Coturnix japonica: one gene and its partner. The protein of the gene in region 2 binds, or shares a complex with, the protein of the main gene of each other region. Links are inferred from orthologs where the notes say so. Each region holds a gene or a part of one and is shown on either strand. Other genes may lie near its edges.

Evidence for each region.
Region 1: the proteins of LZTS1 (region 2) and ASB7 are in contact, whole or in part, in a crystal structure (PDB 8Y1U), measured with the Homo sapiens proteins. The link is inferred for Coturnix japonica from reciprocal best matches to the Homo sapiens genes LZTS1 and ASB7. Residues at the interface, in NP_001349813.1 of Homo sapiens: Arg346, Glu348, Leu349, Leu352, Met353, Glu355, Gln356, Leu358, Leu359, Glu360, Lys362, Leu363, Arg364, Ser365, Tyr366; in NP_937886.1 of Homo sapiens: Asn46, Trp48, Ala56, Ile79, Phe82, Tyr87, Met90, His91, Asp116, Trp118, Val123, His126, Tyr127, Ser147, Lys149, Thr151, Gln155, Leu156, Ile159, Arg160, Phe182, Arg185, Tyr186, Ile189, Lys190, Arg210, Leu220, Leu223.

The regions. Positions count from the first base shown.
Region 1 is NC_029525.1:15,702,087-15,713,103, reverse strand, and holds part of ASB7 (ankyrin repeat and SOCS box protein 7), read right to left. Parts: intron 7,409-11,017; 5' UTR 7,310-7,408; intron 4,485-7,309; 5' UTR 4,435-4,484; coding exon 4,224-4,434; intron 1-4,223. UniProt on the Homo sapiens protein: Probable substrate-recognition component of a SCF-like ECS (Elongin-Cullin-SOCS-box protein) E3 ubiquitin-protein ligase complex which mediates the ubiquitination and subsequent proteasomal degradation of target proteins.
Region 2 is NC_029537.1:2,920,825-2,932,524, reverse strand, and holds the start of LZTS1 (leucine zipper putative tumor suppressor 1), read right to left. Parts: upstream 7,409-11,700; 5' UTR 7,302-7,408; intron 4,098-7,301; exon of another isoform or gene 1-4,097. UniProt on the Homo sapiens protein: Involved in the regulation of cell growth. May stabilize the active CDC2-cyclin B1 complex and thereby contribute to the regulation of the cell cycle and the prevention of uncontrolled cell proliferation. May act as a tumor suppressor.

The DNA of each region.
Region 1 (11,017 bases), on a different chromosome or scaffold from region 2:
AGAACAACAAAGTCTTACCTGGGCAACCAAGGAACACAGACAACTAACTCTCCAAAACCAAGCCCAATATAAAAAACCAACACAATAAAAAGATTCCAGTTCTCATAACGCGCTTAAACAGAGCTAATTGCACCAACCACTCCCCCAGTAAAGAAGCAATTTTAACAAGACCAAAACGACACCTGCAGCTACTAGCAAATGTCTTGCTGCCACCTCCTGTAAAACTGTTGAATTGCACAAGGGCTGTTAGAAGTTGGACCAGCGTTGCATTGCATAGACTTTCTACCCATTCAGTCCCTGTACGAGCAAAAGTAAGACTGCGAGGCTTGATGTTGCCTTAAAAGCTTTGATTGCTGTGATTATTTTTTTTTTGTTTTAATTATTTTTTTCATAAGCTCCAACGTCATTAACATGTTGTAAAGTATCTCTGTCCCCCAGAACACAAGCAAGGCAGAAATGAATCGGGAAAGAATACACTTAGCTTACCTTTCAGATTCAGCAGAGGGGTAAAAAAGTACTTGGTACAAGCGTATTTAACTAGGAAGGGATGAAGCCAGCACTTGCCAGCATTTCCTTATCTTGCCTCCATCCTGATTGTTTGACAATTATAGTTATTTCTTCTCAAGCTTCCCATTAATTTGGGGATAGCAGAATCTAGAAATATGAACAGCTGCATTTGGTCACTTCTAATGTTCTTAAAATATACGGCATAATACAGTGACATAAACCTCGAGCTGCTTATTAAGGGTACCTTAATTACTGTAATCAATCTCATTTGAGATAGAAAATTGCAACACAGCGATGCTCATGATCTTATTTCACATTAAAGCTGGGTACGTCAGCTAGCTATTAACTCCACTGTTAATGAGAGCTATTTCTAATACTGTAATCTAGAGAATATATAGGTTATTAGGAAAGAGTCTAAAATCTTAGTTTCAATTTACTGCTCAGTGCAACAGTTTCCCTTCTTTCAGGATGCTTTTGCTCTATCAGTTTAATTTGGGAAGCCAAGAACACAGAGCTACTGGTTTCATAAAGTACTTCTATCACTCCCCCACAACTAGGAATTAATTCAGACCACAACGTTTAGAAACATGGCTACATTTATCTTCTGTTTTGGATTTCCTAGGACAACACTGATACACAAGACCTCCATGAAGGCATTGCTGTTCAGACACAGAACCACTGTGAGTTGGTTTAGGAGGCTGAGCATTTGGCACTCAATCATTTCTTCTGGATTCTGCATGACCTTACTAAAAATTAAGATACCTTCCAGCCAAGACTAAAAATAAACATCTCTGTTTAGACACTTCCTTTTTTTAGTCTAATTTCTGGGAGCCTTCCCAAATCATTTCCTCGCATTAATGCAAGTAACAAGAAACTGTCCTGTTCAATTAGCATTGAGAGAACATCACCCAGAGACAGCTAGCAACTACACACTGACAAGGCTTCAGTGGACAGTTACTTCACTGGTGCTGGGAAGTTTTTGTCCAGTATTTTATTGTCAGTCTCTATATCATTTGGAAAGCAAAAAAAAAAAAAAAAAAAAAAAAAAAAAAAAAAAAAAAAAGGAAAATAAAAAAAGCATTTAAGGGGAATAAAGGTTTGTTATCTAAATTACTGAAAACTATCCCCTGTTTTTATGTTGCTCTCATACTGAGCTTTGTGACACTGGATTGTTCCTGTGGAAGGAAAGAGCATCTCCATTTCATTAAAATAAGACAAGTGCATTAAGTCAAATTCCCTGTTTCTGAATGAAAACTAAGTTTCTCTGGAGTTCTGATCAAGTTTCTGCATTTCATAAGAGTACTTTTATGATCGATTATCTCTGTACCTAGTTGCTATTTCTGCTGGCTTCATCTCTAAATGTGAGTTGTTAGTTTAGGCATTTCCCCATCTATCTGCCTCTCCTCCTTGTTTAGCAGAAAATAAACGCTTCCTCCTGTTCCACACCACCTCCACTCCCATCAGCCAATCTGCATGTACAGCACTGTCCCCTGGCTCTTTTCTTTGCTGGTAAGTGATGATGAAAAAGAAGAGAAAGAAAAAGTCAGAGACAGCTAGGTCATGACTCCCATAAGAAGCTACTTCTTATTTCCAGGTCAGTGATCAGAGTCTCTCTCAGTGCTTATTTGCCAAAATCCATCTCAAACCCACTACCACTCAAGCCTATGTCAGTGCTCCCACAGCATCCAAGATGTGAGGCATGGCACTCTTCCCCCAGCAACAGACCTGCATTTCCTTATTCCTGTACTTGAGAATAGTTCCAGCTCTGCTAAGCTCCACAACCACCAGACAGCCACATCTATCAGACTCCCCCTTTCTTCCCACTAACTCTCAGGTACCCTTTTTTCTCTCCACAACTCCACCTACTGCCTCCCCTTTATTACTAATACACACCCAGTCACTTCTGTGCTGTTTACCATAAGACTCATACCAGAAAATGACTTTTCCCTTCACTGCAATATCTTTTTGGTCCAAAGGGATTAACATCCATCATCAAATTAATCTACTTCAAGAGGGAGGAAAGGGGAGGCTGTTACAAAAGGCACACACAAACCTTTCTCTAATGAGGCAGGCTTGACTAAGTTTGCTTTTAACAGTCAGCTCATTGGCTCACTTGTGACATTATTATGTTTTAAATGCTCACTATCTTTTATGTGTGATTTGTTTTTTTTATATTATCTGTTTTGAGGGAAAACAAGGTAAGGCACAAATCAGTGCCAATTTTCTGAACGGAGGCTCAGCTACAGAAAAAGCTGCTGTAGATGACTAACCCTCACACTATTTGTTACTCAACTTTCTAGTCCTGGTGATTAAACTCTTGGCTGCTTACAGAACAAAGATGTCTCATTACAGGCAGCTTTCAGCAGGCATCAGATTCAGCTGGTACTTCATATGGAAAAGAATAACAACAAAAAAATAAAAACAAGACAAAACATTATGCCAGCAGCTATTTAATAGCAAAACCCATACAACTAAAGTAAGCAGGGTTTACAGGGTTTTTCTGATCATTTTAAAAACCACATCCTTTGAGACTCAGCTTAGAAACTTTGAATTATCAAACTAAAGAAGTCCTCAGATTATCTACGTATATTTCCTATAAAATGCAGAGTTTAAAGTTACATGTTTATGTAATTCAGTAGCTTTCCCCTCACCTCCAATAAGGACAGGAGAAATACCCAGTATTATACCGTTAGAAATTGCAGTAGGTATATAAATGGGGTCTAGATGTTTAGGCGATGTTTCACTACTCTAAAATAACACACCATGAATTGGGCAAACGCCACACTTTATTAATGCCATTCAATATTAAGGGCAACGTAGCATATGTCAGATGTAGAAATCTGAAACAAGGGGACTAGGACCAAACTTTAGATAAGTAAAGCACCCAAAAGGTAATTCAGTTAAGTTTTCATAAGAATAGAAGCCACCCTGATTCAGAATTAAGTTGATTAGAACAGTGTTAGAGTAAAGGATGCTATTCTTATAGAACACTACTCAGAAAGTGGAGGTCATCCCACTTTTGTTTTTTCCCCCTCATCTCACATTAAAGGCTTAAACCCAAGAATTTTTAAACCTATAGATGGCCTTAAAAGAAGATACAGAAAAGAATTCTGACTCTACATTTGTGGGGAATGAACACCACGCATGCAGTTACATCCCTTAAAACTCAATCAGTTCTTTAAAGCTTCAGTAGCAGTGGGTGCAGGAGAAGTGTGAACTCAGCTGGACTAGCTGACACCAATGTCTTTGCACAAAGTAATAATGTTTTCACAGAGTTTAGAAGACTGCATTAAAACCTAGATGGAAATTCAAACCTTTAATGTGACTTATTAACTTCTTCCCTAAGATTTCAACCCCAAGATCTGCCCTTCCTCTATTAACAGCCCCTAACAGTAGAAAGGCCCATAGCAAGTCCTGTGAGTGTGTTTAAGTTTATAATGAGCTCTTTGCCCTGTTTTTATAATGTGTATTCATTCTTTTAACAATTACTTGGAAATTCTGAAACAATGTCAGGTTTTATGTTATACAGCTAATCTATTACCTCATTCACAGAGCACGCATCGGACAGAAACGGAAATGAAGCACCAAAGAAAGAGGAAAAAAAAAGCCAAACAGAAGCAGTCTGGCAATTAAGTGACACTGGAAAGCCATACGATGGGAATTGGGATAGAGAGCTGTGAGCTGGGTATCAAGTTTTTTCTCTCAAGGCAACTCACCTCCATGTTCAAGAAAAACACGAACACATCTCTCTTTCCCTCTCGCAGCAGAGAAATGAAGCAGTGTCCAGCCATTGGCATCTCGACCATTTGGAGAATAACCTTGCTCCAGCATTTTGCGCACGGTGTGAACATCGCCAGCAGCAACCGCAGCCTGAATCTGCAATTCTTCCTGTAGCTCAGGGTTTCTCCGACAGTGATGGTGTAACATCCTAGCTGAGTCTGGCTTTTACAGAAGCGTCATGAGGTCACACTAGTCACCTTGAATCAATATAAAGCATGAATTAATTAGGACCACGATCAGGAAAGAGATCTAGAAAAACAATCAGTACTAGTAAAAGCAATGCTAAGATGTACTCCCTATATGCCGAGCAAAGTCATCTCATATATAGGATAAGATAAAGCACTATCTCACTATTGCTAGCAAAAGCCTGGTATATGATTCCCATCACTAAGCAGTAACTGAAGAGGACACTTGCATGTAATAAATAGTAAATATTTTCTTCAGAAGTGACAGCAAGCCACAGTTAAAGTACCTGAATGAGGAAGAGAATGAGGAATCTTGAGAACCCAATATTCATTCCAGATCACAGCATGGTTAATAACGCTGACTCAAGATACTATTGAATACATTCTCTAAACTGTTGCATGAAACAGTACTGTACTGCTAGAGCGACTGAACTATGACTTTCTCCCCTGCCTAGAAATAAATAACCTCTAAGAATAATTGAAAAAGTATGTTCAGATTACTAACAGAATGTTTTCTTGTGACCTCCTGCACAGGAATCCTAGAAGTATCAGTGTTCAAACTGACAACTTTAACCTCCTTTCTCCTTGCACTTTATTACTTACTTTTCTTTAAATTAGAATCTTCTGCCCATATTTTGGCTTTTGGGCTTCTTTATAAGTACATAAATGCTGTAAAGGATGTTCATATTCCAAAGATCTGACAAAGATAGTACTACATGAGACATGACAATGCAAATCAGAAAAATTCAATTTATAATTACCTTGATAAAGTATATGAGAATGCTGGGCTGAAAGGGTCTCTAAAATGGCCATTGCAAAAGAGCCTAGATACCAGCATACATTGGGAAAGAAATAAGTATAATATTCTGTGCTCTGTTTGAAAAGCACTCATCTGCAGTTCTACTTGCTACCCAGCTAGGGACAAGAAAAAAAATGCAGGTATTTAAGAATTCTTTCACAGTACAAAGTCTGTGAAGTGTTTGCATTTTCACATGCACTGTGTATCATATCCCATTAACAGCTACCCCTAGAATGGAAAAGAATAATCGAAGAAAGAATAAAAGCAGGGAAATGAAGAAAGGGAATGCTGAGTAACAGAAGTCACAGCAATTACCTAGAAACAACTGCAGTGGGTATTAACAATGAATTCAAAGATTTTAAAAGGGGGGAAAAAAGAAAGAATTTACATTGCTATAAAGTTAAGAGTAAAGTATAATGAGAAATTCTGAAGATGAAAACGAATTTTTAAGCAATCGTTAAAATTTATAGCAACCCTATTTTATCAAGATAGCAAACAACATCATCACCTAAACCTTCATTTACGCAAATATCATAAGGATTCCACATCCTCATGATTCATAGGTCATTCAAAAGACACCGCAATCAACTTCTCATATCCCACTAGGCACTTGTTTTCCTGTGATCCAGATATGCACACAGACAATAGAAAAGTGAAAACATCAATCACTGCCATCCTTTTGGATGAAGGCTTCGAGGGCTATTCACTCTACTTATAACCTACTTGTGCCCATTGCAAACGAATTATTATGTGCTGCCTGCAGAGAAACTAATAACAAACAGGTAGCTACAATCACCATACTTACACAGCAAAAGCTGAGATTATGTACAGCCAATGCCTGCCATTGACATTTATTGATGCTTCAAGATAGTCCGTATGCCAACATTCAGCATAGGGCATTAGAAGACAACTTCTTAGCTCAATACATGCCTTAGCTACAGATTCAGTTTTGTTTTATAGAATGAACTCCATTACCTGGCTCTGGAAGGAAAGGTGATTTACAAATTGGCACCTGCTAACTCAGGTTAGCAGCGGTTCAGCTTTTGCATTATAATAAAAAAAAAACAAACAACAAGACGAAACAAACACAATCAAACTTGACTAATCTAATGACAACAGAAGTATTTCTCTTGCCTGTAATATATTTTTGCTAAGCTCTGTTCTGAACTCCAGTTAGCACTTCAGAATGCTCTCACTTGCAGACAGTGAGCTTGACTTCATTAACAGTGCTGTTAATAGTGCAATCTAGAATGAAATTCCACCTATTAAGTAAGGTCAAGGGAGACCACACAAATAAGAAGAAATGGATTTTTCATTTAAGGAGCCAGCAGAATACCCTAAAACATACCTACAAAGACAGTTGGTTAAGAGAAAGCAAAGCTCTTCATATCACACTTCTCAGCTGGTGGGTACATTTGTAATGCAGCATTATAAAACGTTGGCACTGGCCCCATATGTTGCATGTGACTAGCAGAGCTTATTCAAATCAGCTAGTACTAAAGTACATAAGTACTAAAACATACAAAGCAGAAGACAAAGTCGAGCATAAGCAGCTCCTTTTATCACTTGTGTAGTTTCTGTGAGTATCTCCTCTTCTATCTCACCCCTATGGCAAGCAATAAAATTCAAATTACAAGAATATTTAACCACAACACTGAAGGTTTCAAGATAGCTCTAGACACATGCCAGCTTGGGAAATATGCTCACATCCACTCCACAGATCCCATTTACAAATCCACACTTACTGAGTCAATCTTTGGGGAAGAGAAGGGAGTCTACTGAAAGCCTTTCTCCAATAGGCACTTCATATTTAATGTTTTGCATATATAACCAATGTCACTGAGAACACAGGATGCAATTAGATTGCTGCAACATTGGCTTCTTATATGCAAGTAAAAAATTAAGATGGAAAGGTATGGAAAATACATACCTATACATTGTTAGTATTTGTACACTGCCATGACAAAAAGTGACAGTAACAAGAACTTAAGTGATTCTGCAAGTACAAAAGCATGAACTCAACATGTCCCTGAATTACCTTATAAGAGGTTGTCAGTCTTTGATGAATGTTCCATTCTTCATTTTCTTCACTATTCATAATCTTGTGTGTCCATGCGTGTCAAACAGCCTGCTAACCCTTAAAAAGAACGATATTTCTTGTTAGGTGCAAACAGTAAGAGTCAGAGGTCAACCTGTTTTTATCCTGTACCACTACTAGAGTGCTACATTTTAATGCAGTTATGTCAAAAAAGGCCACAAATATGTGGTTTTTCTTCCATTATCGGAGAGTACTTCAGACACTGGGGTGAGAAGTTTGCTTCTGCCAGGTGAAAAAAAAGCTACAGAGAATAATCTGTGGAAAACAAGAGAAACCAGAGATGTGCTTCCTCTGCAGAGTAAACCTTGAAGGAATCACCTAACCACTTCTCTGACAGTTTCACATATCTGTTCCTGCTATGGAACAAGAATGCAAAGGTTACTGTATGTATTTCTGCCCAACTGCTCAATGTTTTCCTGTGGGAGCCAAATGCCAGAAAAAAATAACTTAGGGATCCACTTGGCTTTTCCCAAGTGTTGGCTATTTATTTCCACCCCATCTGTGTTTCTCTGTCTCAAGAATACAACCTGAGAAGGTAGAGCGCTGCCTTTTCCCATTTAGCATCCAATGGTCCTTCAGCACCACTAGGTAAGCCTACTCTCCCCAACATGACCAACTCAAGCTAACATACACTGTGTTTTAGATAAGTGAACACACCGTTCTAACAGAAGCAATACCTTCAGTTCAAAAATCATCACCCTTTTCTTTACACCTAAACCCTTTCCTTTCAATATCCAACTTCACTGAACTCCAGTACCCATTCCTACCCAGCTCCCAGCCTTTCTTATCCTTCCTCCTGGCAGATAACAGCACCAGTCCCAACAGCTGACCTCTGCTCAAAGCACTGCCATGAGCCTTTCCTGGCCAATATTATTTCATTAAATCTCTGTACACTTCTGTCCAGCTGGCATTTCATCCACTTAGCCTGAAAGAACCCTTCAGAGAGGACCCTTCCCATTCTTACACACTGCAATAACGTAACAAATAATAAAAGCATTAATTACTTCATCGTATGGCAGATCACACAGACTGGGAGTTGTTTCTGTTGCATCAGAACAATTTTAAGAACTGAACCTTCAGCTTAAAATTTGTCACTTCGTGCAACATATGATTGTGCTTTGCTGACGATAGCTCAGAAAAAGAGGATGGAAAAAAAGCTCTCTTCATCCCTCGTATGCACGTTCTCTAAGAGCTTTGCTTCCCAAGATGAAACACACAAGGTCTGCAGATATGCTCACAGCCCCGCACGAAACTGCACTGCCATGACCTAATTTGATCACATTTCCAGCCTTGTTTTTGCATAGTTGATCAGTTGTTAGTTCACCTTCTCTTTTTTTTCCTTCTTCTTTTTAATTTTTGCATGATTTCCACTTAAAAACCCACACATTTTTTATTAGCTGATGCAAATTAGAATTGCACTGACTTCACAGACTACAGACAAGGTAACAGATTGCTCCACTAAAAAAGTAACAAGCATTTTTCCCCCCAAAGGAAAATTAGCTGCATATGGCAAGAGTAAGATCTGTAACTTTAATAAAAAGAAGTTATATTTAGTGAAAGTAAAGCTCACTTACTCAACCTGACAAAGTTTGCTTAAAACACTAATAACTCTAGCAAAGTAGCACACTAAAAACAAAAGGAACATCTTCCTTTTTGATTGATAAAGTACCATGTTGTTCAAGACAGACTTTTCTACATCAATACATCATTTCATTAAAGTCACTGCATATATCATGCAGAAAACGAATTCCAGCATGTGTATGCACTTGCTTCTAATGCACTATTTTGTCCATTCAGATGGCCAACAGGACTGAGCCCCAAGCACTAAGGTTACACAGACAACAGGAGGAGGACAATACTTCTTGGTGTCAACCTAACTGTATAAAGCAGGAAAAGCATATCATGACATGACTTAATGTCTAGCATGGAGCTAACCATCAAAGAGCATGGTTGTTTCTGAAGTATTCTAATACATTTAAACCGAAGAAATAACATAGAAGAAAGTCCTGTGGATTAAGGGTAATCAGCATTCATGATTCTCACAACCCACTTTTCCTCATCCCTTTCAGGACTCAAACAAGCTGAATGTGTTCTCATTCAAATGGCATTTTGAAAATGGACAGTACGTGTTTGACAAAGAGCTCAAATGCAACTATCATCTTCTTGTGTCACTTAGGTTCCTATTTTTTAAGCTCTATGGACGGAGAAAGAACAACAACCATATTATTGTGTTCTTATATTCCAACCAATGTCTGCAAAAAAAAGAAAAAAAAAGCATGAAATGCTAGTATTTCACAAGGCCTTACAATTGTGAGGGGCTGGAACCAGATGATCTTTGAGCCCCCTTCCAACCCAAGCTATTCTATGAATATATCTTATGTTAGCTGCTCTATGCTATATCCTGGACATCAAGTGAGGCATTCAAGTCTCTAAGTCACCAAAGCTTTAATGTATACTCCTGGCACCAAAAGCAGTGAGTCCATGATGCACGAATCCTCCTAAACACCACAAGAGAACAACTTCAAAGGAAAGAAGCTGCAGTCTTCATGAGTGATCATTAGAAGTTGTGCACTCATAAGGAATGTATCTGTAATGCCAACTTCTGGTTTAGACATATTTAAGGTAACAGAGCTAACCTAAAAGTGCTTCATCAGCTTCAGGTGTGTGTAGTACCAATCATGCTGCCATTATAGACTAACAAGCAGCTGTTGTGCTGTTACATTCTGCAGGTGACCAAAACTGAAGTTTGTAGGTATCATTTTACCAACTGTTACCCATGTAATGGTGAGATGTGAGGTCTGACTTTTGGGCCTGATGGAGAGCTAGGGAAACTGCCCAGCTCAAGTAACTGCAGGTCTGCAAACAGGACAGCAACAGCTAAGACATCATCTTCACTACCCACTGTTAACAAATCAGCTCAAACCATCCCCAAAATCCTCATCTGTACACTGGTAAACTTATCCACAAGTGGGACCTTGTGAAGAAAACGCCATAGATCTAATAATCTCATTGTTAGTGCTGAAGGAAGGCCTTACTGATCTTTTGCAGGTGAGAACGTTGCATCAGTTCATACAGCTGCAATGCTCCTTTCCCAGCCTGCACAGAGCACCTGCAGGGAGCCTGCAGCACGCTTTGAGATCAAGCATAAAAGGCAGCCCCACTGCTGACTTACCGTTAGCAAGCTTCAAACAGTATAAATATAGAGAAAACTTAACCTTAAAAGTAAGCAGTAATTCAGAGCAAGTGTTAAGGTGTAAGATTCACCCATTTTAATATTACTTGCTATCACTCAAGTATCCAAACACCAACTTTCCACTGAATGACAGAAGCAGGAAAAAAACCCTACAAACTAGTTTAAACCTCACTACAACAATTGTTTCAGTCCTACTACTCATGATACAACTGATGAGCAAAAAGAGCGCTGCTTATGGTGCTCATTTTATTTAACAGCCTCTGCAAAATGTGTATTTGCTCTGATTTTTTTTTAATAGGGCCTAGAAGAACCAAACTGGACAGAACTAATTGGATGACTTGAGCAGATAAAGCAATGGTGCTTCACTACAATAATGCCATTCTGCAAGCAAATGCTGGAACAGAAAACAGCCTCTCACTCCACACATTTGCTTTAAGGGTTTAGAATTCACAATT
Region 2 (11,700 bases):
AGCAGCGAGGGTCAGAGTGGTGCTCAGAGCACCACCCTACAGGAGACCATGCACATCCCATGCCATGCTCAGCAGCTGCAGTGCTGCATGCAGGGGTTTGTGGTGCTGTGAGCAGTGCAGGCTGCCCAGATAGGATGAACTGGGGCTGATTTTTGCAGAAAGAGGGGAAAAAAAATGAATGGCATGTTGCATTCCTTCTAAAATCCAATCATGCCTGCCCCGTGATCACGCGCAGGAGGGCAGCTCTCCCTGCACATTGCAGGAATTTAATCTTATCTTCCTGGCAGTGCAGCTGCTTTGAAGCCTTTCCTTCTTCCCTGCAAAGCTTTCACGGGCAGCTGCTTTCTCTCACCTTAGTGAGAGCCTTCCTTCCTATCCAGGCTTTGCAGCATCGCTCCCTCCTTGCTGATCCTGTTCTTCCCCTCCGGTATCTGAGCTCTTCCTTCTCCCCTGCACCCTCTCGCCCACTCTTTTTTCCCCTCTCACATTATTATTCATCATTTCTGTGCAGATGCGCCCACACATTTCGGTGTTTGTTGGGAGGTGCACGGATAGCACAGGAGCAGCAGCAGCAGCAGCTGCCAAGAGCCCAGATCTGGGAGCAGCATCCTTCCTTTTTCCCTCAATGACTGCCAGGTGATGTGCCCACGTTTTGCTCAATGATCTGGGTCTTTTGAGACACAAAGAATGTGGCCCTAGGGGGAAACATGGGCATTTCTATGGTGGAAAGCAATGCATGTGCTGCCTGCAGCATCTGGTTAACGACTTAATGAAGAGGTGGCTTAATCCAGAACTTGGAGAGCAACAATCTCACTGGGCTGGGATTGAGATCTGGAATGAAAACTGGGATCGAATGGTTTGGATTTCAGTGCTAGCAAACACAGGACTGAGGATACGGACAGTCCATGTGTGAGCATCCATGGGGTGAGCATACTGTGCCTATACCCAACCCAACTCCTCATTTCCAGCTCCTCCAACCCCCCTCACTTTGGTCCCCATGGAAATGGCAGCTATAAGGCCTGGAGAGCCCCATCAGCAGCACCGACCTTGCCCCCACCCCGTGATCCTCACCCTCATCTCCCTAATGGGAATGAACTCAACACCGCCCAGGCAGGCGCTGTCCTTGCGGTGCTGCATTGTGGCTCGGTGCTGGCAAAGGGCCCCAACGACAAGGCTTTCATTCACTCTAATTCATTGTCCCCTCTGCTCATTCATTGACATTCATTGGGATCATTTTGATCGGAGGCAGCGAGTGAATTGCAGCGGGGCTCACAAAGCGCGCGCCATGTGTTCTGCCTTGATTTGCCATTAGTGAAGGGGGACACTCCAGATGAAGAATAACCAGCCTCAATTACATGTTACATCCACTCTAATAGCCCAGGAGTCCATCACACTTAATGTTATTTCAATGAACACTGGGAGAATTCACACCCCCCCCTCTGACTGGTGCTTGTTAGAGGAGGCAGCAGTGCCTTTGGCAGAGGGTTTGGTGGGCTCAATGCCAGAGCAGCAGCCATAGCCTGTGCTGTGCCAGTGTCCCCTGGCAGCTGGGCTCCTGGTTTGTTGCATTGAGCAACTACAAAGACATCCAGACCCACTTTGGAGCTCATTGGCAGCACCAAGTGCTGCTGACTTGCACCCAGGTCCTGCAGAATGTCTTGGGTGCTCTTTATTTCATCAGCATTGGGAAAAGCAGAAGGAGCTGCAGGCACCTGTGTAGCGTGCAGCCTGGTCCTGACCCTGGGGTGAGCCCACAAGTGGCCTTAATGGGCGTTGGTGTGATGATGTAGGTGGCATTGAGGCGCCTGGATTAAGCCACGATTAGGGAACCCGGTACTAGGTAAGAGGAATTTCTTGAATTAACAATGAATCATATTGGCACAGAGAGCTGGAGAGGATATTGACTCAACACCCGCTGCGCAATGCCTCCTCTCACTCCGTCTGATCCCTCTGTGGGGAAGCCGATGTATTTCCCTGTGCAGAAACCCTGCTGGAGGCAGGGAGAGGCTCCTGCACTGCTGCGGATGATTGCACAACCTGCAGAAATACAAGTCAGCAAAGCCTGGACTTCAAGTGTCTGCATTCCTGCAGAGCCTTGTGCTTTCTGCGCTGCTAATGCTTACTGGACAGTTCGCCTACGCTAATAGCACATGCTGCTACGTGGGCTACAGAAGTGACAGATCATGTTTTTTGCCTCTCCAACCCAAGAGGGACTTCAGAGCAAGACCAACCATGAGCACTTGGTGCTGGATGGCCACAGCAGGCTGTTATATTCAGGAGAAGCTGTGATTTCTGGTGCCCAAAGGAGATGATTCCCAAAGGGACTGCCCTATAACACACTGCACTCAGTGCCCCCCAGCTCAGGGATGCACTGCCCTGTAGGGTTGCTATGTGAGCTTATGGTGGAGCTCCATCTCCCAACCTTCACCTGGCTGTGCAGAAAGAGCCCCACATATGCTACACAAGAGCACCCTGAGCTGTTCCAGCTTTGCCCTGCTCCCATAGTGGATAGACCCTGGCACCTGGTGAATCAGCATCCAAGCAGCACCCAGATGTCCTCACAGTCATGTTCCCAGCACAATGGAAATGTGTTTGCATGAGACACACTTAAATATTCCTTGGGTGGGGAGAAAGATCCTTTCAGCTCACTTCACTCCTAAGAGCATCTGGCTTTTCCTGCTAACAAGCAACCAACGCTGCAATTAAAGCCCTGCTAATTGGAAATGCAGAAATGCTCAGGTCTGGTGACACCCAGGATTCCTCTATTGAGCTCTGATTTTGCAGCCCCAGGATGGGAGCTGAGAGGGTCTGTAGGGTTGGCAGGTGGGAATCGACCACGTCGTGCCCTAGAGCTGTGGGCTGCTTATTTTGGGAACAGTCTGGGGCTGGCAGCTGGTGCTGGGGTGGGTGACAGCTGAGCATGGCTTTCACTTGGGATCTGCGAGGCCCCTTCTCACGCATCTATTTCCGACCCTGTAAAACACAATCTGGCAGGGTGTGAGGATAGAGGGGGGAGCACCCAAAAAAAGGGGGGGCTGGCAATGGGCTGCCTCGCCTGGCAGGTGCCCCTGAGCGTGGTTGGGATGTGCAGAATGCTGTCCTTCCATCCCTACAGCTCAGCGCAGTGTCTGTCCCGCACGTCTTCCTTGAGCTTCTTTTATTTTTTTTTCCCCAGGATCTCATTGATGCAAAAGATGCAGCCAGAAATAGCGAAAGCTTCACGTAACCAGAGCTGTGCCCTAAATACGGCTCCTCCTGGCTTTCCGTTCCATGAGCTCTGCATGCATCTTCCTCTGCCCCCCCCACCCCCAATCATGGGTATGGCATGAGTGAGTGATGGGATGTCTGTTGCCCTATGGGTTGTACCAAGGTGGGAGCACCAAGGTTTTCTCCCATTCCCTTAAATAACCAATTCCCTCCCTGTTCCAAACTGAGACTCTGCTGCAGCCCCCCCGGAGCACATGGAGGAGAAGCATCTTCTCCATGGACAGGGAAGAATTTAGATCTGGAGCTGTGGGCTGCCATGGAGACCAGGCTCCATCTGCAGAGCTCTTCTTGCCTACCCCCCCCAGCAGGCAGAGGAGCAGCCAGGAGCCCTTGTCTCCTCCATGCTGCTGCCCCTTCCCCTCCCATGGGCTTTGAGTGCCTTCTGGGGCTACAAAAGCAAATCCATGTTCTCTGGGCGCTCTGCAAAGTGCTGGGAGGGGAAAATCACTAGCCTGGATAGCTGAGGGCTCTCAACCCCTGACTTAGCAGAAAGATGATATCAGGGAAAGAATTTCTCTAAGGTAGGACTTCATGTCTACCACCAAACCAAGGCACTCTGTGTTAAGCCCACATTGGCTTCCTGGCACCTGAGTTTCAGAGCAAAGCCATGCACTCCTTCTGCACCATCATCCCCTGTCTGCGGTACCAGTTGTGCTGTGATTTCTCTATTTCTGCACCCCGTGCAGTGCTCAGCCAAGACAGAGCTGAGAAAAGGCAACTTCTGCCTGCTGACAACAAGCCAGGCTCCATCCCTACCATGCAGAGCATCTGCTGTGATGCTGCTGCCTGCTCATCTCCTCCAGCTCCTTTCCAGAGCATTACATTCCCCCATCCCTGCTCTGCTCAACTGCTTCGGTGCAGCAGCCACAGAAGGGAAAAGAAAAGGCAAATTCATTTCTCGCTTCCTATTTCCCTCCTCCTCTTTTTATCCCCCCCCCTCCTCGAATTGGCCCATTGCGCATTCCACCCCTTTAATGCCTGGCTGCCAAATGGAGCAGTTCTCTCCGAAGAGAAATGCACATCAAAGTTGCAGGGAATATTCAATTAACCTTTAAATAAGATCATCCACAAGTGGCTGATGGAGATGGCGTTTAATTGTTTAAAATAAACCAAACACAGCCGCTTGCATTTCAGAGGGGGGCATTTCTGTGATCCAGCTCTGCCTTTTGCTGCTGTTAGGGCTGATGTTTTGCTAAAAGGCAATTAAATATCGAGATACGCCTTCCAACTTTCCCTCTGACACCATTTGCTTCTGCAGGATTGGAAGGGAATGCGTTTCTCCCTTCTGCATGCAGGAATCCGCTGCTCGGTGGAGATGCTTGCTCCATAGATCCCTAAGAAATAATTAAACCCCCCCCTTTATCCCAAAGGAGGACAACATGCATTGCTACCCTCTGTTGGAAGGAGCTGCCTTGCTGAGGCCTTGCAATAGGATAACAGAGGTTGCTTTTAGCTCAAGAACTTTGCAGGAGGAAGAGGAAGGGCTGAACGCAGCTGCCTTGAGCTCCCAGCTGCAGAGTGCTGCAGGAACAGCATCCCAGCCCAGCACTTCCAGAACCAACCCACCCAGCCTTCCTGCTCTAGGGGGGCCCTTAACACCCAACAACGCTGGCAAACAGCCCCTGCAGGAAATCCTCTGTGACCCACATGCCAAACCTTCGTGCATTCCCTGCTATTTTTAACTCATTTTTAACTTTAACCACCCACGTTGCTCCTGCCCGCACCCCTGCAAGCAGCTCACAGCCCCCAGATTGCAATGGTGAATAGGGCAGAGGGGTTTCAGTACCTCCATAAGAACTACTTATCAGTGCATGCAGCATTCAGGGGCTTCAGCAGCAGTTTGCTGCAGCAATGCTATTGTCACACTTATCCATTCAATACTTTGGGGGTGATACTGGGAGCTCTCACTGCTGCATGTGGTTTTGAATGGGTTTTTTGCATGGTCCCAAAGGGGGTGGGGAGCTGCTCCATTCCTCTGTCTCCTGGTTGTATAGAGCCTGCTTGGCGGCTGCCCACCTCTTGCATGCCTTAAATGCCTCACCTGAGTGTGTGCTGAGCATGACTGTACCTGCCTGCAGCAAATAAAGGCTTTCAGGAGGGGAAAACAGCGATTGAAGGTGAATGATAGCATTGGAGTGAGGAGGGATGAGATGGGACTGAAGCTCTGAGGTGCCCCAACCTGCATCCCAGCACCTGCTGGCATCACTTTCACACGTCCCTCTGCTTGGAGCAGGGTCTGCCCTTGTCTGTATGGGCTGCTCTGCCTGTTGGTCCTTTACACCCATCCCTCTTCTTGAAATCATTCCTTGAGCCTCAAATTCATTCGCCTCCCACCTCTGCACAGCGCCAAGGAAGAGTGACTAAGGGGTGGGTGGAAGGAACGGCTCAGGACTGATTTAGCAGCCCCGGTACCAGGAGGAGGGGGGGGGGGGTCAATAGAGGCACAGCTGGGGGCACACAGAGCCCAGTGGGAGCCACGAGCATCCCCCGCAGCGCCCAATTGTGCTCCCGAGCTCACTTTTGCAGCTGCCATTAATTGCCCCCCTCCGCTGATTGCTTGTGCCGATGGGGTTGGTGTAATTCTTTGTCCCGCTGATTAATGGCCCTGGTGATTAATAGCATGGGGTGGGGGGGGTCCTGGGCTGGATGGAGGTGTGAGCCCGTGGCCGTGAGCGCAGCTGGTGGGGGAGGCTGGGATCAGGCAGCCAGGCAGGCTGCATTACTGATTATTTCAAAAGGAAGGTTCGTTGGCGTCTGGAGCGATGCTATCAGTGAGACTGATAGCACAGACTTTGTTTCCTGCTCGTGTTGCACTTGCTGCAGCCTTCGAGGAGGAAAACAAGCTCTCCGGAGGAATCTGGACGACCATAGGAAGTGCTGAGTGAACACCAGGCTGCTCCCTGTGCTGAGTTCTCAGGTCTCAGCTCACTTGTCAGCACCAAAATGCCCTTATAGAGTGGTGTGCAATGGGGAGGAGGTGCCTGGGGCACGGCACTGCTGGGGGGTCAGCCAAAGGGGACAGCAGGAAACCAAATACAGAGTGCCCATCAGCAGTGATGCAGATGGAGCTGGGGTGTACAGGGGGAGGTCAGCGATGGAGGTATGGCTTTGAGCTCATTCATATCCCTGAGCCAACAGATGTGTGTTGGACCCACTGGGAGCAGTTGGGTTCAACACACCGATGAGCAGATAAATGCTCCTGAACCTGAGAATAGTTGTGGGTATCCCACCCTTTGGAGACAGCAGGGTGCAAACTCCTAAGGAAGATAGGAGTGCAGTGCTGGGGCTGAACGCTGTCTCTATGGGGCTCTATGGAGTTGATGAGAAGGGAAGACCCAAACTGACTCCCACCACAACCACAGCAACAAAGCCCAAGCTCTGCTTCTAAGGGCAGAGATGAATCGCTGGCTTTCCAGGATCGGAGAACTCTGCATCCTCTGCTCATCCTCACCTCTCCCCGTGCACACATACACACACACACAGGACGGCACCGGCACAAGGAAAGGCTGACACACGACCAGCAGAGCCCAGCTACAGGCTCACAATCAACATCCCGACACCATCAGCCCCCGCACACGGAGGAACCACAGCAGCCCCCTGCACCCACGCCGCCCACCCGCTTTCCCCACGCTCTCCCAAGCAAATCATTTCCTACACGAGCACGGCACGATGCCCACAGCAGCCCAAAGGCAGACGGACATCCAGCTGTACGTTTCCCAACGACCAGCAGCCCGACCCGAGGTGCTGATCACGCACACTTCCCCTTCTCTCCTTTCCCCTTGAAGTTTGCCACACTTGGGATGGAAGAGATGGAGCAGAGCCCAACACCGCTCGTATTACGGGGCCGGGGACACCCTCAGGACCCCATCGGATGTGGGGTACCCGAATCCCGGAGCTCACGGCTGGGAGCGATGCTCGCTGCCGTCCCCAGCCGCCCGCTCCCCCCATCCGCAAACCCCTCCGCTCCGTTCTGCCCCCCATCCCCGACGGTTCCCGGTCCCCCCGCACCGCCCCCAGCCCCGATGGGTTCCTACCTCGTGTGGCCGCAGCCCGCAGCGCTCCGCGGGGCTCCCGGTGCGTGCCCGGCAGCAGCATCCCCGCTCGGAGGCGGCGGAGGAGGAGGAGGAGCTCGGAGCCCCGCGTATCGGCCCGCCCCGCTGCAGCCCCCGGCCTTTGTGTCCCGGCCGTGCCCCCACCTCCCACCTCCCCCCGCCCCAAGGCCGGCACGGGGTGTTGGGGAGAGATGGGTCGCTTTGCTTCCCAGACTTGGGGCGAGGAGGGGGTTAAAGGAGGACAAGAGGTGCTCGGGTTGAGCGACTGGCACCGTCGGTGTCTCTGAGCATGGGGAGAACCCAAAGCTCCGAGCAGCAGCCGGCAGGAGAAGGGGGGGGGGGTACAGCTCTGCTACACCTCATCCAGGGCAGGGGCTGGGACGGCAGACTCTGCTTTCTCCCAGCCTGAATCACATCATTCCCCAGCCACATTCCCAGCCCTACAACAGAGAACTGAGCTTTGGGACCATGACCAGAGCTGCCTAAGAGTTGGAAGGGGAAACTGAGGCACAGTACCTGCAGATCTGCACCAGCTCCAACAGGCTCAGGGCCAGCCAAGCTGCCCGGCAGCAGCAGAGCAGCCTCGATGCTCAGTGAAGTGGCTTTGGCTCTGCAAACAACCCCCCCCTCCATAAAGGTTCATACATGCCCGTCCGCATGCGTTTACTGGGTGGAAAGGCAAATAAATGGAGGACATGAGGAGCTGAGCTGCAACATGTACACTGCTGCCACTCTGGCTCCTGCACTGCTGGGCCCAACTTGACCTTTCAGGCAGCAAAACTGCCCCAAATGCAGCAAGCTGAGGTCAGCACAGGCAGCCTCCCTGGGTAGCTCTGTTTGCTTCTTCCTTGCTCTCTGGGTCTCTCATCTCATCCCACCCCAGGCAGCTTTCCTGCCTGCTGGCCGTGCCTCAGCCTGACGCAGCACTCAGGAATGCACACACTGACTGGCAGCACATCAGGACTTGCCCCACTCATGGAGCTGCGTGGCTGCATCTCATCCAGGTGTGCAGCGAGTAAAGCTGCTCCTGCACTGCAAGAGGGAACAACAAGTGGGTCCCCAACCCCGCGTCAACGTAACAAATGAGTTGGGGGGAACAGAAAGCAAGCCAGCACATTGCTAAAGCCTCATGGCCAGGGTTAAAGACAGTCCCAAAGTGGTTGCGCACTGTGCTCCCATCTGCCCACAGCATCCCATGGGAGCAGGCTCCTGGTGCTGCCTTTGGCACATGGGCACAAAGCTGTGTGCCAGGGTTTGCTCACACGCTGCAAGCACTGCAAACCGGAGAGGCGAGCTCTACCCCAGCCCTGCCCTATGCTCAGGTGTTGGAGAGCTGCAGCATTGGGGTGGAGCAGAGCAGCAATGAGGGCTCAGCTCCGCTCAGACCGCAGCGCTTTGATTTATGGCAGATGAGATCCACCTCCTCCCCCCCCCCCCCCCCCCCAACTTCTGAGATGAAAAAAAAACACTTCTTTTGTTCTCATGAAGCGCTTTGAAGATGCAAGGCAGGCTGGGAAAGTGAAGTGCTCCCCCCCCCCCCCCCCCAATCTTTTTTTGTGTGTGTTAATATTGTTTCCTGGCAGCTTCGTTAGTTTCTCTGCTGATTTGAGCAACGCTCCCACAATCCCGCGGGCGCCTCATTGCCTTGAAAGCAGTCAGCTGGAATTTGCTATTTTAGGAGCGAGAAATTGGAGAGAGGAAGAAGAAAGAAGGAGAAGGAGACAGAGAAGAAAGAGAAGAAGAGAAGTGTATTCCCGTGAGTGCGGAGGAACGATTTAACAGGGTTTCAGTCAAGGGGAAAAAAGGCATAAAAAAGAATTACGGTTCATTTTCGTTCGAAACGGGGCTTCGTGTTTCTACAGTAAGTCATAACAAAACAAGGCAGCAAAGCCAAGAAGTTATCTGTACCAGATGGGGCAGCGGTTGTGTCTGCAAGCTTTACAGCAATCGTCCTGACTTGATTGTGCAGCGATGGAGCTCAGTGTGCAGCCCTTATCATGGAGGGGGGGATGCTGTGTCATCTCCCTGTCCCCCAAGCATGGCAGCCCCATTGGCAGCAGCTCATCCTGGCTGTAAATTGCCCTCCCTGACCCATCCGTCCTGCACAAGCCAGCACTTGTACTGACTGCTGTGCCCTCAAACGAGTCTGACCTGTGGGTCTGCCTCACCTCTCAGCCACATGGAAGGTTTCCCAGCATGAAGCAGCCCAGGGAAGAGCAGCAAAGGGCACTTGTGGAGCAGGGTTTATTGCAGGGCTCATTGCATGGATCACTGCAGGGCTCACTGCATGGATCATTGCAGGACTCATTGCAGGGCTCACTGCATGGATCACTGCAGGACTCATTGCATGGATCATTGCAGGACTCATTGCATGGATCACTGCAGGGCTTACTGCAGGGCTCATTGCATGGATCATTGCAGGGCTTACTGCAGGGCTCATTGCATGGATCATTGCAGGGCTCATTGTAGGGCTCACTGCATAGATCATTGCAGGGCTCATTGCATGGATCACTGCAGGACTCATTGCATGGATTATTGCAGGACTCATTGGCACTCCCATCCACTGCTTGGGCAGATGCTGCTGATCACCCTCCCGCATACTTGCCCTGGCACAGCTCTAAGTGGTTCCGTAGATTGAAAACGAATCCTATTTCCTTTGTATATAGCTTGAAAGATAAGCAAGTAATCATAAAGTGGAGATTGCTCTTCTCTTTTATTTTTTGCTAACAGATTATTTACAAATCCATTGAAATTGGGTATAATATAATATAAAAGCTCGTGCCAATTGAAGGAAATTACAAGAGAATAAGGTCAGCACTAAAAGCAAGGAGTAGGTGTATTTAATGGCTTTTCTCCCTACAGACCCAGGAAGCAATACTGGAAACAGGGATGGGAAAAGGAACCGAACCCACATGGGACTTTATTTTGTGCTTTTTGAGCAGCAACCTGGGCAGCACAGGAAGGGCAAGGACCACGCTCAGCCCTCCCAATGGAAGCTGTGCTGAGCACTGAGCTTGGCACGGCTCTCCCAGCCCAGCAGTGGTCTCAGTGGGGGAGATGAAGGCTGAGATTCAACCCCAGCCCCATTCAGACCCCGATCCCATTGCACTGTGCTCGAGGGTTTCGCTCCCAGGCAGTTTAGCAGTAACAAACAGACCAAAGGTCATGAGAAAATGGTATCACACCAGAGCTCGTAAAGGCAGCTTGAAATTTCCTCTCCCACTTCTGGGATTCATCCGCTCCTTTCCCATTAAAATTAATGATAAGAGCTCATCCATTTCTCATCTCCTCGGTCGCTTCGCAGCCTCTTCCTTTGCTTGATGCTAAAACAGAGACAAGCCCAGACCACGTCCCCAGAGCCTCAAAGCAAAGTTTGCTTTTGCAGTTAAACAAAGCAGCTTCTCCCTGCCCGGCAATGTTGCAAAACAGTGATATGTTATTGTGTGGCTCTCATTATTGATCTGTGGTGTTCATCTGATGAGCTGCGCCAGTCACACCGCCACGTCCTGCTTTCCCAGCCCAGGTCTCATGCAACAGGGATTCCTCCTAAGCACCATTTCACTGCGGGGGCTCTGAAAGCAAACAAAGTTTCTAGCTCTCAAGGTTTTGTACTGAGTATGGGGTGAATAATAAGATAAAAAGGACCCAGCTTCCTCTCGGGACTATTCAGTGCTCAGCTCTGTTTGCTTCTGCTTCATCAGCCTCCAAACCCAAATCCCCCTCAATAATTCAGCAGAGCTGCTGTGCTGCTGGTCTAAATAATTCATCCTGGAGCTTTGAGGAGGAAAACGTGGTTACATCTCCCTTCAGAGTGTGGCTCTGGGGCTCCCTGTGCCTTTTCCAAGCAGATTTCCTCTGATCAGAGGATGCTCTGCTTGCGCTGAGGGCTTTGTGGGGAGCAGAGTTCTGTGCAATCACAGGCACTGGGGATGGGAGCAAAGGGAATAAAAGGAGAATAAAGGGAGAGCAACTCCATGCTCCTTTGCTCCATCCTAAAAGCACCAAGGGCTGCACGGGCCGTCTCCAGGAGACAGAGGGAAGGAAACGAGAAGGGAGGTGTTGTTTGGGTTTGTTTCCTATTTTCTCCAGGGAATGAGGATGAGAGCAGCTACAGCGAGGTCGGGGCTGCCAGGCAGCAGCGTGGCACAGCGTGGTGTTGTGTTTGCAAATCCTACTCACGGAGCTGACTTCTCCCACGGGGTATCACTGAGCAGCTCCTGCCAGCAGCCGGCTGCTCTCCGGAGCAGCAGACATATGGGCTGTTTTTCCAAGGGGCTGTTTCAATTAAAAATTCCCAAGGCAAAGCAGTAATGATCGGCCCAGCTGAGGACAGATTGGCTGCAAAGGGCATCTGTGCAAGCGGAGCAGCGCAGTGCAGTCC